Coturnix japonica: one gene and its partner. The protein of the gene in region 2 interacts with the protein of the main gene of each other region in a biochemical or structural test. Links are inferred from orthologs where the notes say so. Each region holds a gene or a part of one and is shown on either strand. Other genes may lie near its edges.

What was found.
Region 1: of the proteins of DAPK3 (region 2) and PAWR, one has a biochemical effect on the other in vitro, tested with the Homo sapiens proteins (2 studies listed by BioGRID). The link is inferred for Coturnix japonica from reciprocal best matches to the Homo sapiens genes DAPK3 and PAWR.

The regions. Positions count from the first base shown.
Region 1 is NC_029516.1:35,855,486-35,859,296, forward strand, and holds part of PAWR (PRKC apoptosis WT1 regulator protein), read right to left. Parts: intron 3,578-3,811; coding exon 3,430-3,577; intron 2,051-3,429; coding exon 1,946-2,050; intron 1-1,945. UniProt on the Homo sapiens protein: Pro-apoptotic protein capable of selectively inducing apoptosis in cancer cells, sensitizing the cells to diverse apoptotic stimuli and causing regression of tumors in animal models.
Region 2 is NC_029543.1:799,366-803,922, reverse strand, and holds the start of DAPK3 (death-associated protein kinase 3), read right to left. Parts: upstream 2,982-4,557; 5' UTR 2,967-2,981; coding exon 2,741-2,966; intron 2,642-2,740; coding exon 2,542-2,641; intron 2,123-2,541; coding exon 1,762-2,122; intron 1,111-1,761; coding exon 981-1,110; intron 777-980; coding exon 728-776; intron 627-727; coding exon 600-626; intron 523-599; coding exon 370-522; intron 76-369; coding exon 30-75; intron 1-29. Other genes in the region: EEF2 (elongation factor 2), read right to left, coding at 3,540-3,733, 3,929-4,061, 4,136-4,318, 4,487-4,557. UniProt on the Homo sapiens protein: Serine/threonine kinase which is involved in the regulation of apoptosis, autophagy, transcription, translation and actin cytoskeleton reorganization. Involved in the regulation of smooth muscle contraction.

The DNA of each region.
Region 1 (3,811 bases), on a different chromosome or scaffold from region 2:
CAAGCTTTTGGGATTCTTGTAAAAATAGTTTTTAGGTGTAACACAAGGTCTCTGCCAATGAAGGATGCATCTGTAGTCACAAGCTGACCAAAACTTCTAGAAAGAGCATTTCTCTAAACGTGAGGGCTGAGAAGTCAGGAAGCCAGGCAATAAAATGGCATTTAGGCTATCTGACCTGAAATTCTTTCCACGTCACTGCAATCTAACATGCAATAACAGCATTTTTTGATTAACAGGAAAGACAGAGCAATACCACAAATGCATAGATGGTCAAATTTCAAGACTTCCATTTAGGTTCTCTACAAGCAAAACCTTTTAAAAAGATCACTGCATAAGCTCACTAAGTCATCAGACCTTCTCTTATCCTCCACGTAAAGCATGTAATCCTGATGCCAGGTCTGCAGAGCCACGTTCTATGAAGAACAGATGGGTGTTTAAGCGCTCGCTCTCATGATCGCAGTTGCAAACATAAGCCTTAGGCAAATATGACTGCCACATTAACTTTCATGCCCTTCTGTCATGGGAATGATGTAATACTTCTGTAATTTTTTTGGTTTTTTACTATTCTAAAGCTTTCCCTTTTCTAAATTCACATGGATTGCTAATAGAAGAGCATTCAAAAATCCAAAAGCTAATAAAAAAGAAAGTGAAATTGTATCTGCTTTAATGGAAGTATCACTTGACACGTGCTGGTTTCAATTTTTGTAAAACAAATTATTAAGATGGTCTGAAAGTCAAAAGGCAGCTATTTCAATGTTAAGAAAAACCTGTGGGACTCAAGCATTAATAGCTGCACTGCAATAAAGCCAATACATCATGTTATAGCTATTATAAATGCAGCCCTGGCAGAGAAAAATCTCTCTATATATTATCTCCTACATTTAATGGAGACTGTCTAGGGAGTTCCATGTACACAATTCTCATTGAACATTGCAGTTTTAGTCGTTCTGTACTAAAGAGGTTTTTGGAATTACTATGTTTTGATTTTTTTTTTCTCACACAACAAACAGAAATTGTCATCATACCTAAATGCAGGCAGTACATGAGGCCTATTTGACTTTACTATGAATGTTTAAAGGTGATTTCTAATCAGACACATTATAGATTTAATTTAGGACATTATCCTTCAAATACAGTAGGAAAAGAAAATATCATTGCTTCTGGGTCAGTAGGCCTTAGAAACTGTCAAAACAGGTCTTAAAGCACAGGACTGCAGTGATTTGGGTGCTTCTGTGTTTTCTGCTTTCTAATCTCTGAGAAAGATCAGACATGACCAGCAGTATGAAGTAGCTCTGCCACCCATTACATTGAAGTGAACAGACTCCTTGATTAATACTGAAGTGGTCAGCTTAGATGTAAGAGATTCCTTGTCAGACGTAAAAATGGCATGAAGACCAATTCCTCAATTGGTCAACAAATCTCTCCAAAACAGACAATATTTCATTAGTCCTATACATTCCATCTTTCTTTATAAAAAGAAGTAACAGACAGCTGCTTTAGTCCTGTAGATTAGTTTGCTATCTTTTGTGTATGTTGATCTCCACTGTTTTAAGCAAATGCCACAAAATCAGAGTCTACCACAATGCACATGAAGTTATTGCCTCCCTCTACTGCTGGATTCACCAGGGCCATTTTGTTTAAGGAACACATGCTTTTGTAACCTCACTGTACAACAAACCAGCAACAACAAAACAGCAATAAGAAGGTATCTCAACAGTTAAAAAGTTCTGGAAGTTAATTACGACAAACAGAAGCCACCTGGGAAAATATAACTTACTAACAAGATTGTTGAAAATTACACAGCTTCAAAAACAGAAAAACCTAAAAACACTTAATTTTCTTGTGACCCTGCCAAGTGGTTACAAGAACCTGAAGAAAAGCACTGAGAATGCAGAGGATTTTATCCCCTCTTTATAAAGCACCAGGTAAGAGAGTATGTGCTTACTCTGTTCAATAAATCAATTTCTTCCTTCAGTTTTCCAATTACTTCCTCTTTGTCCTGTGTGATCTTCATTAATCTTACATTTTCCTGTCTCTCCTTTGCAAGTTCCTAAAAATAGAATATGCTGGTGTCAAATATAATTGTTTTAAAGACAGAGTTTTATGTTATTGCCATTCAAATACCACACCCTCACTACACACACACATACATAAACCACACACATACCTGTAATTCCGCTTCTACAGCAAGTCAAACCCAAAAGCCTTCAAGCCTTTACGTTGCAAGGAGCTAATGAATCACATCTAAGAAAATATTTTACTCGCATCAAACCTGTGTGATATCTCCTATTCTAGAGATGCTTAATTAATATCTCACTTACACATCAGTCCAAAATTGGGCGGGAGTCTAAGAGACAAATGTGTTAATGTAAAGTCTCGGTTTCCACATTTTATATATATATATATTTCCTTTCTTTTTTGTTTGACACCAGTTAATGTGGGAACAGAGATCTCATGAGATATGTGGGCTTCAAGAAAATTAAAATGAAAATGTCCATTAGAAATTCACCAAATCAGAGACTGAGACTCTGAAAAGCGATCCTTAAATCTTCGTCTATTTTCTGTTATTTGTAATCGAATTATCTTAGAAGAAAAAGGATTTGAATTTGGAAGATTACAGCATATTTCACTCAAATCTGGCTTCCTTAATTCTTTAGAAGAAAAAACAACAAAGCAGCAAATTTTCCATTTTCATCATTTAAAAAAACCTAAAAGCTTATTCAAGTTGCATTTACTCAGTCAACTTCTGCAGGGCAGGCCATAATAACTTTTTCCATAGAAACTCAAAAAACTTTGGCTAGTTACCCATAAAAGTCCACTACAGAAGAAGAAACAGAAGCTCATAATAAGGTACACAGATGACATACTCAGCCAAATAAGTTTTAAGTGAAAAATACAGCTTTAACATTGCTATGTTCTTTCAAAAATGTTTGTACTAAAAATGGCTGGAATAAAGAAAACTTTGTTTGAAATATATATTTTAGGTGCTGAAGAATTCAATGAACAACAAGGTAATAATTAAGTTTTATAACACTTCAGCACATCCAAAACAAGAAGTAAATCAGATGGAACATTGCTTATTTTCTGAACAGCCAGTGAGCCCCATCTCCCCCCGGGTTATTTGCCCTGTGTTTGTGTGTCATGAGGTACCCAGGACAAATTCACACAGCACAGGTGGCTCTCTGACTGCTTTAGTTTTACCTCAGCTATTCTGCACATCCACACCAAATGAAAACTAAACATTTATGATGATTAGAAAGCTCACATTCCTTCTGTCTGCTTGATTCTTTACATATATTTCTAGGCACAAGCAGCTGCACTTCAAGCATCAATCATCATTTTTATATTAACTCATTTCTGATTTCCCCACAGGGTTTCAAAGGTTCTTTATTTCAGATGTATACCATGCAGATGTTACTTGGTACTCACCCTTTCAAGTTCCTCAATCCTCTTTTCCAAAACATTACTTGGTACAGAACTCCCAGAAGAGTTTGCATCCCTGCTGTATCTGCTGTAAGTTGTCCTCTCCGTTCGGGAATACCTGTTTACAGCATCATCTTCTGGAGCATTACCTGTACTAAAAGGCATAGAGCAAAGCAGACACTTATTTACAGATTTAACAAAATAGAAAAGGTAGAGCAACAAAGTGCTTTCCAAAGCTCTTAAGAGGTCAGTACAATAAATTGCAGAGCACATTTCACAGCTTTGTGTTGGTGAGAACTCACTAACTTCATTGCCTTGGGGAATCACACACAAGAATGTCTCAAGATACAATCTGTATTAAGAAACTTGGGTGTATCTCCTTATCATA
Region 2 (4,557 bases):
CCCCACACCATCACCTGGAAACCCCATACCTTGATCCAGGGGTGCTCCAGGCTCTGAGCTATGGTCATCCGCTTCCTGCAATGACAGCAAGGCAGGACAGGGGAGGATGGAGTTGGAGATACGGGGTTATGGGGGGAACAGGAAGAGAGGGGACAGGATTGGGGGGTGGGATCAGAGGGGCATAAAATCAGGGGCCCTGCTCGTGGGCTGCCAGGCTGTGCAGCTCAGCCCTCAACCCACCACTTCCTCACAACCCCATTCCTTCCCTTCCACCCACTACAGCCACAGGTGACCCCACAGATGCCCCACACCCATATGGGGCACAGTCTGACCCACGTCAGCCCCCAACACCCGCACCCCAACCCTCACTTGGGGTCCTTGACCAGCAGCCGGCGGATGAAGTCCTTGGCCAACTCGCTGGTGCTGCTGAAGTATTCCTCATCGAAGTCGTAGTTGACGGCAGAGATGTTGGTGAGGGTCTCCTGCTTCGTTTCCCCCAGGAAGGGGGAGGCCCCGCTCAGCCTGCAGCAATGGGGGGGATGCTCAGCCCCACATCCCCACCCCCTGCAGCACCCCACACCCCCGGCCCCTCTACTCACAGGATGTAAGTGATGACCCCAATGCTCCTGGAAGGGAAAAGAGGAGGTCAGAGCCCCACAGCGTCCCCCCCACATGGCACAGAGGGGACAGAGGGGGACATCCTGACCCCCCACCGGGGCTCACTCACCACATGTCGGCCTCCAGCCCCAGCGGCTCGTAGTTCACAATTTCAGGTGCTTTAGGAAGGAAAAAGAGAGACAACAAACTCATTCTGGAGGGGAAAACACAAATATCTGTCCCCACAAATGCATCCATCTCCTGTGTATGGACACTCATGGGGCACCCAGCTCTGCCCCACATGGAGATAACCCCCCCTGGGGGTATCCCTGCAGGATGAGGCCAACATTTCTGAGCCCCCCCTGTTCAAAACTGTGCCTCACCCACAAACTCCGGCGTCCCAAATATGTTCTTGAACTCATTCCCAGCTTCAATCTTGTGGGCGATCCCGAAGTCGATGAGTTTGATGCGGGGGTTGGGCACGTTCTTGTCCAGCAGCATGATGTTCTCTGGCTGTAGGGGGGGAGGATGATCAGTGCTTCACCCCAGTGCTGAACATGAGGTGTTCCACAAGCCAGCAGCACACCATGGCAGCTACAATGTGTGGCCAAGAAGGCCAACGGGGTCTTGGTTGGCCAATGGCTGGCTGTAGGTTGACCATGAGACATGGTGTTCCCTTATGGCCACAAAGGCCAGTGGTGACCCATTGGCAGACCAAAGGTTGGCCAATGGTTGACCAATGGTTGACCAAGAGCCAAAAGTGCGGCCCAGCAGCCACCAAAGCCAATGTTGTCCCAGCAGACACAGAGTTGGCCAACAGTTGACCAACGATTGACCAACAGTTGGCCAATGGTTGGCCAAAGAGCCAAGAGCAACAAAGGCCAAGAGTTGACCAAGAGTTGACCAAGAGTTGACCAAGAGTTGACCATACGCTTTGTGTCCCAGCAGCCATGAAGGCCAGCAGTGTCCCAGCTGACCGATGGTTGGCCAACAGTTGACCAGTGGTAGTTGGTCAATGGAAGTTGACCAAGAGATGATGAATGAACAACCACAAACCTGCAAAGCATCTCAGCGTCCAAAAAGGCCGACAGCCTCCCAGCTGACCAACATCTGCCCACCCCAATGAGCCCCTATAGCTCCCACCCACACCCATAGACCCCCCACCTTCAAGTCAAAGTGTGCGATGCGTTTGGAGTGCAGGTAATGCACCCCGTCCAGGATCTGCTTCAGGAACTGCGTGGCCTCCTCCTCCGTCAGCGATTCCTTCTCAGCCAGGAAGTCGAATAGTTCCCCCCCCGACACCAGCTCCAGGATCAGCACCACGTCCGTCTTGTTCTCGAAGATGTCGTGCAGGGTGATGATGTTGGGGTGCTGGATCTCCCGCAGGATGTCCACCTCCCTCTCGATCTCCTCCCTGCTCACCCCACGGCGGCTCGATGATAATCGTCTCTTCTTAATGAATTTGGCCGCGTATTCCAGACCCGTTTTCCTCTCCCGGCATTTCCTCACGATGGCGAATTGGCCGCTGGGGGAGGAGGGAGAGATGGCAGCCCCGCAGTGTGGGACTGGGGAGGGACTGATATGGGGGCTGAGCTGCCCCCATAGAGCCCTGCGTGAGCAGCACGGTGGGACCCCAACCCCGTCCCCATCTCTCGGCCATGGGGTCGGGGTCGGGGTCGCTCACCCCCCCCCGGCACCGTGGATGAGGACGCAGCCCCGCAGCCCCTCCCCGCTCTGACGTCCGTCCCCTCTCGGTTCTCCCGGTCCCATATAAGGACCCGCAGCGCTGCGCCGTGCCCGAATCAATGCGGGGCGGCACCGGGAGACCCCGCAGCGCTGCGGGACACACGGCCCGACCCATCCCGACCCATCCCGACCCCCATCCCGACCCCACCCCGACCCCATCCCGACCCCCATCCCACCCCCCACCCCCGCCCCTCTCACCTGCCCAGCTCTTCCCCCATCTCGTAGAACTCCTCCACGTTCTCCTGCCGGAAGGTGGACATGGCGGCGGCCCGGCAGCTCCCCCCGCTCCTCTCAGCACCTACAGGCCGGTATCAGCCGCTCATTCCCGCTCCGATCCCTCACTCCCCCCCTTTATCCCGCTCCGATCCCGCACCCCCCGCCCGCTCCGCTCCCCCACCTGGGCCGCCCCCGCCCGCACCGCCGCATTCCAGCACAGCCGCCGGCTCCGCCCATTCTCCTCCGCTATTGGCTGCGAGATCCCAGATGTCCCGCCCCTCGCGCGCTGCCATTGGCTCCACGGGGGTGACGTCATGTTGGAATGCGTGGATCGGGCCGCCCTGCCTCGCCCCGGCGGAGCTGAGGACGCGGGTTCGAATCCCGGCGGCCCCGCATCGATCCCGCATCGATCCCGCATCAATACCGCATCGATCCCGCAGTGATCGAACCCCTACACCCCACTGCGATGGGTCCGGCAGGAGACACGACGTTGGAGGAGCCATATCATCACCATATCAAATTTATTACTTCCAGTGGCACTAATACACGGGTTGATGCTCATGATGACGATGACACACAACAGCTCCCTGCCTTCAAACCCCCCCCGGCCCCATTGGGCTCCATTAAACCCCCCCATAGATAAAGGGGGAGCAGCCCCCACCGCCCTCAGCTTCTCCCCCAGCCCAATAAAGCAGAGATTCCTCAAGTCAAATAAATATGGAAGCAGAGTGGAAACGCTTTTCATTGTTACAATGGCACCCAATGGGCCACGATGTGCAACACACAGAGCTCCAAGGCTGGATCAATGCGCTCGGTTGGTTCGGTTCAGTTTTGTGGGGGTTTTTTTTCTTGTTATAAGTCTCCAATCGCTACGAAACTGATTAAGTACAATGCAAAGAGCTGTCACTGCGCTTTGAGCCTGCTGGGATGGTGTTTAGGCTGAGTCCCACAGCAGTGACAGCACATGGGGATGGTGGTGATTACAGCTTGTCCAGGAAGTTATCCAGGGCCGGGATCCCCTCCTTCAGCCCCTTACGTTTGCGGGTCTCGGCCACCACCTGGAAGGGGCGGCTGGTGCTGTCGAAGGGATCCCCGGGCAGGATCTGCCAGTGGTCAAACACACACTGCGGGAAGGCCTGGCCTCCAGTGTTGGACCTCAGGTCGGCTGTGAAACCTGGAGGGAAGAGCAGAGCTGAGTGGGATGGATGCGGGGTCTGACAGCTCCAGCTGCCTCCCCCTGAGCCTCAGCCCCTCGGGGTCCTGCAGCCCCCCCTCCACAGCTGCACCCCCATGTACAGCCCACCCCCCAGGGCAGCTCCAGGCCTTACAGCACAGGGATGTGATGGGGCTCCTGGCAGCACACACTTACCAAAGGACTCGTTGACAGGCAGGAAGGCCTTGACCACAAACATGGGGGTTCCAGCCACTTGGGATTCCTCAAAGACGTGCCCACGCTTCCTGTTCAGCACGCCATAGATGCCACCAACCACCTGCTCCGGGCACTGTGGGACAGAGGGGTCAGGGGCTGCAAACAACACAACTCCACTTTCCTTGGATTTCCTTGGATTTTCCTTACCTGGATTTCCACAAGGTAGATGGGCTCCATGAGCCTGGGCTGAGCCGTGAGCACACAGGCATAGAGGCACCTCCTGGCAGTGGGGATGATCTGCCCACCCCCACGGTGGATGGCGTCAGCGTGCAGGGTCACGTCGTGCACATCGAAGCGGACACCACGCATGTTCTCCTCGCACAGCACACCCTGGAGAGCAAAAGAAGGTTGAGAGGCAGCACCAGGCCAGGCAGCATTCATCCTGCTCCTCCCACCTCTGAGTCACGGCTGCAGGCAGCACTGAGCCCATCTGGCAGCCTGAGCAGCAGCTCCAAAGCTGACACCCACACAGGCACTAACTCACTCACACCACCCCACCTCCTTGGTCGCCCACTGGAAGCCGGCCACCACGCTGTCCTTGATCTCATTCAGGTACTGCACTCCCTTGG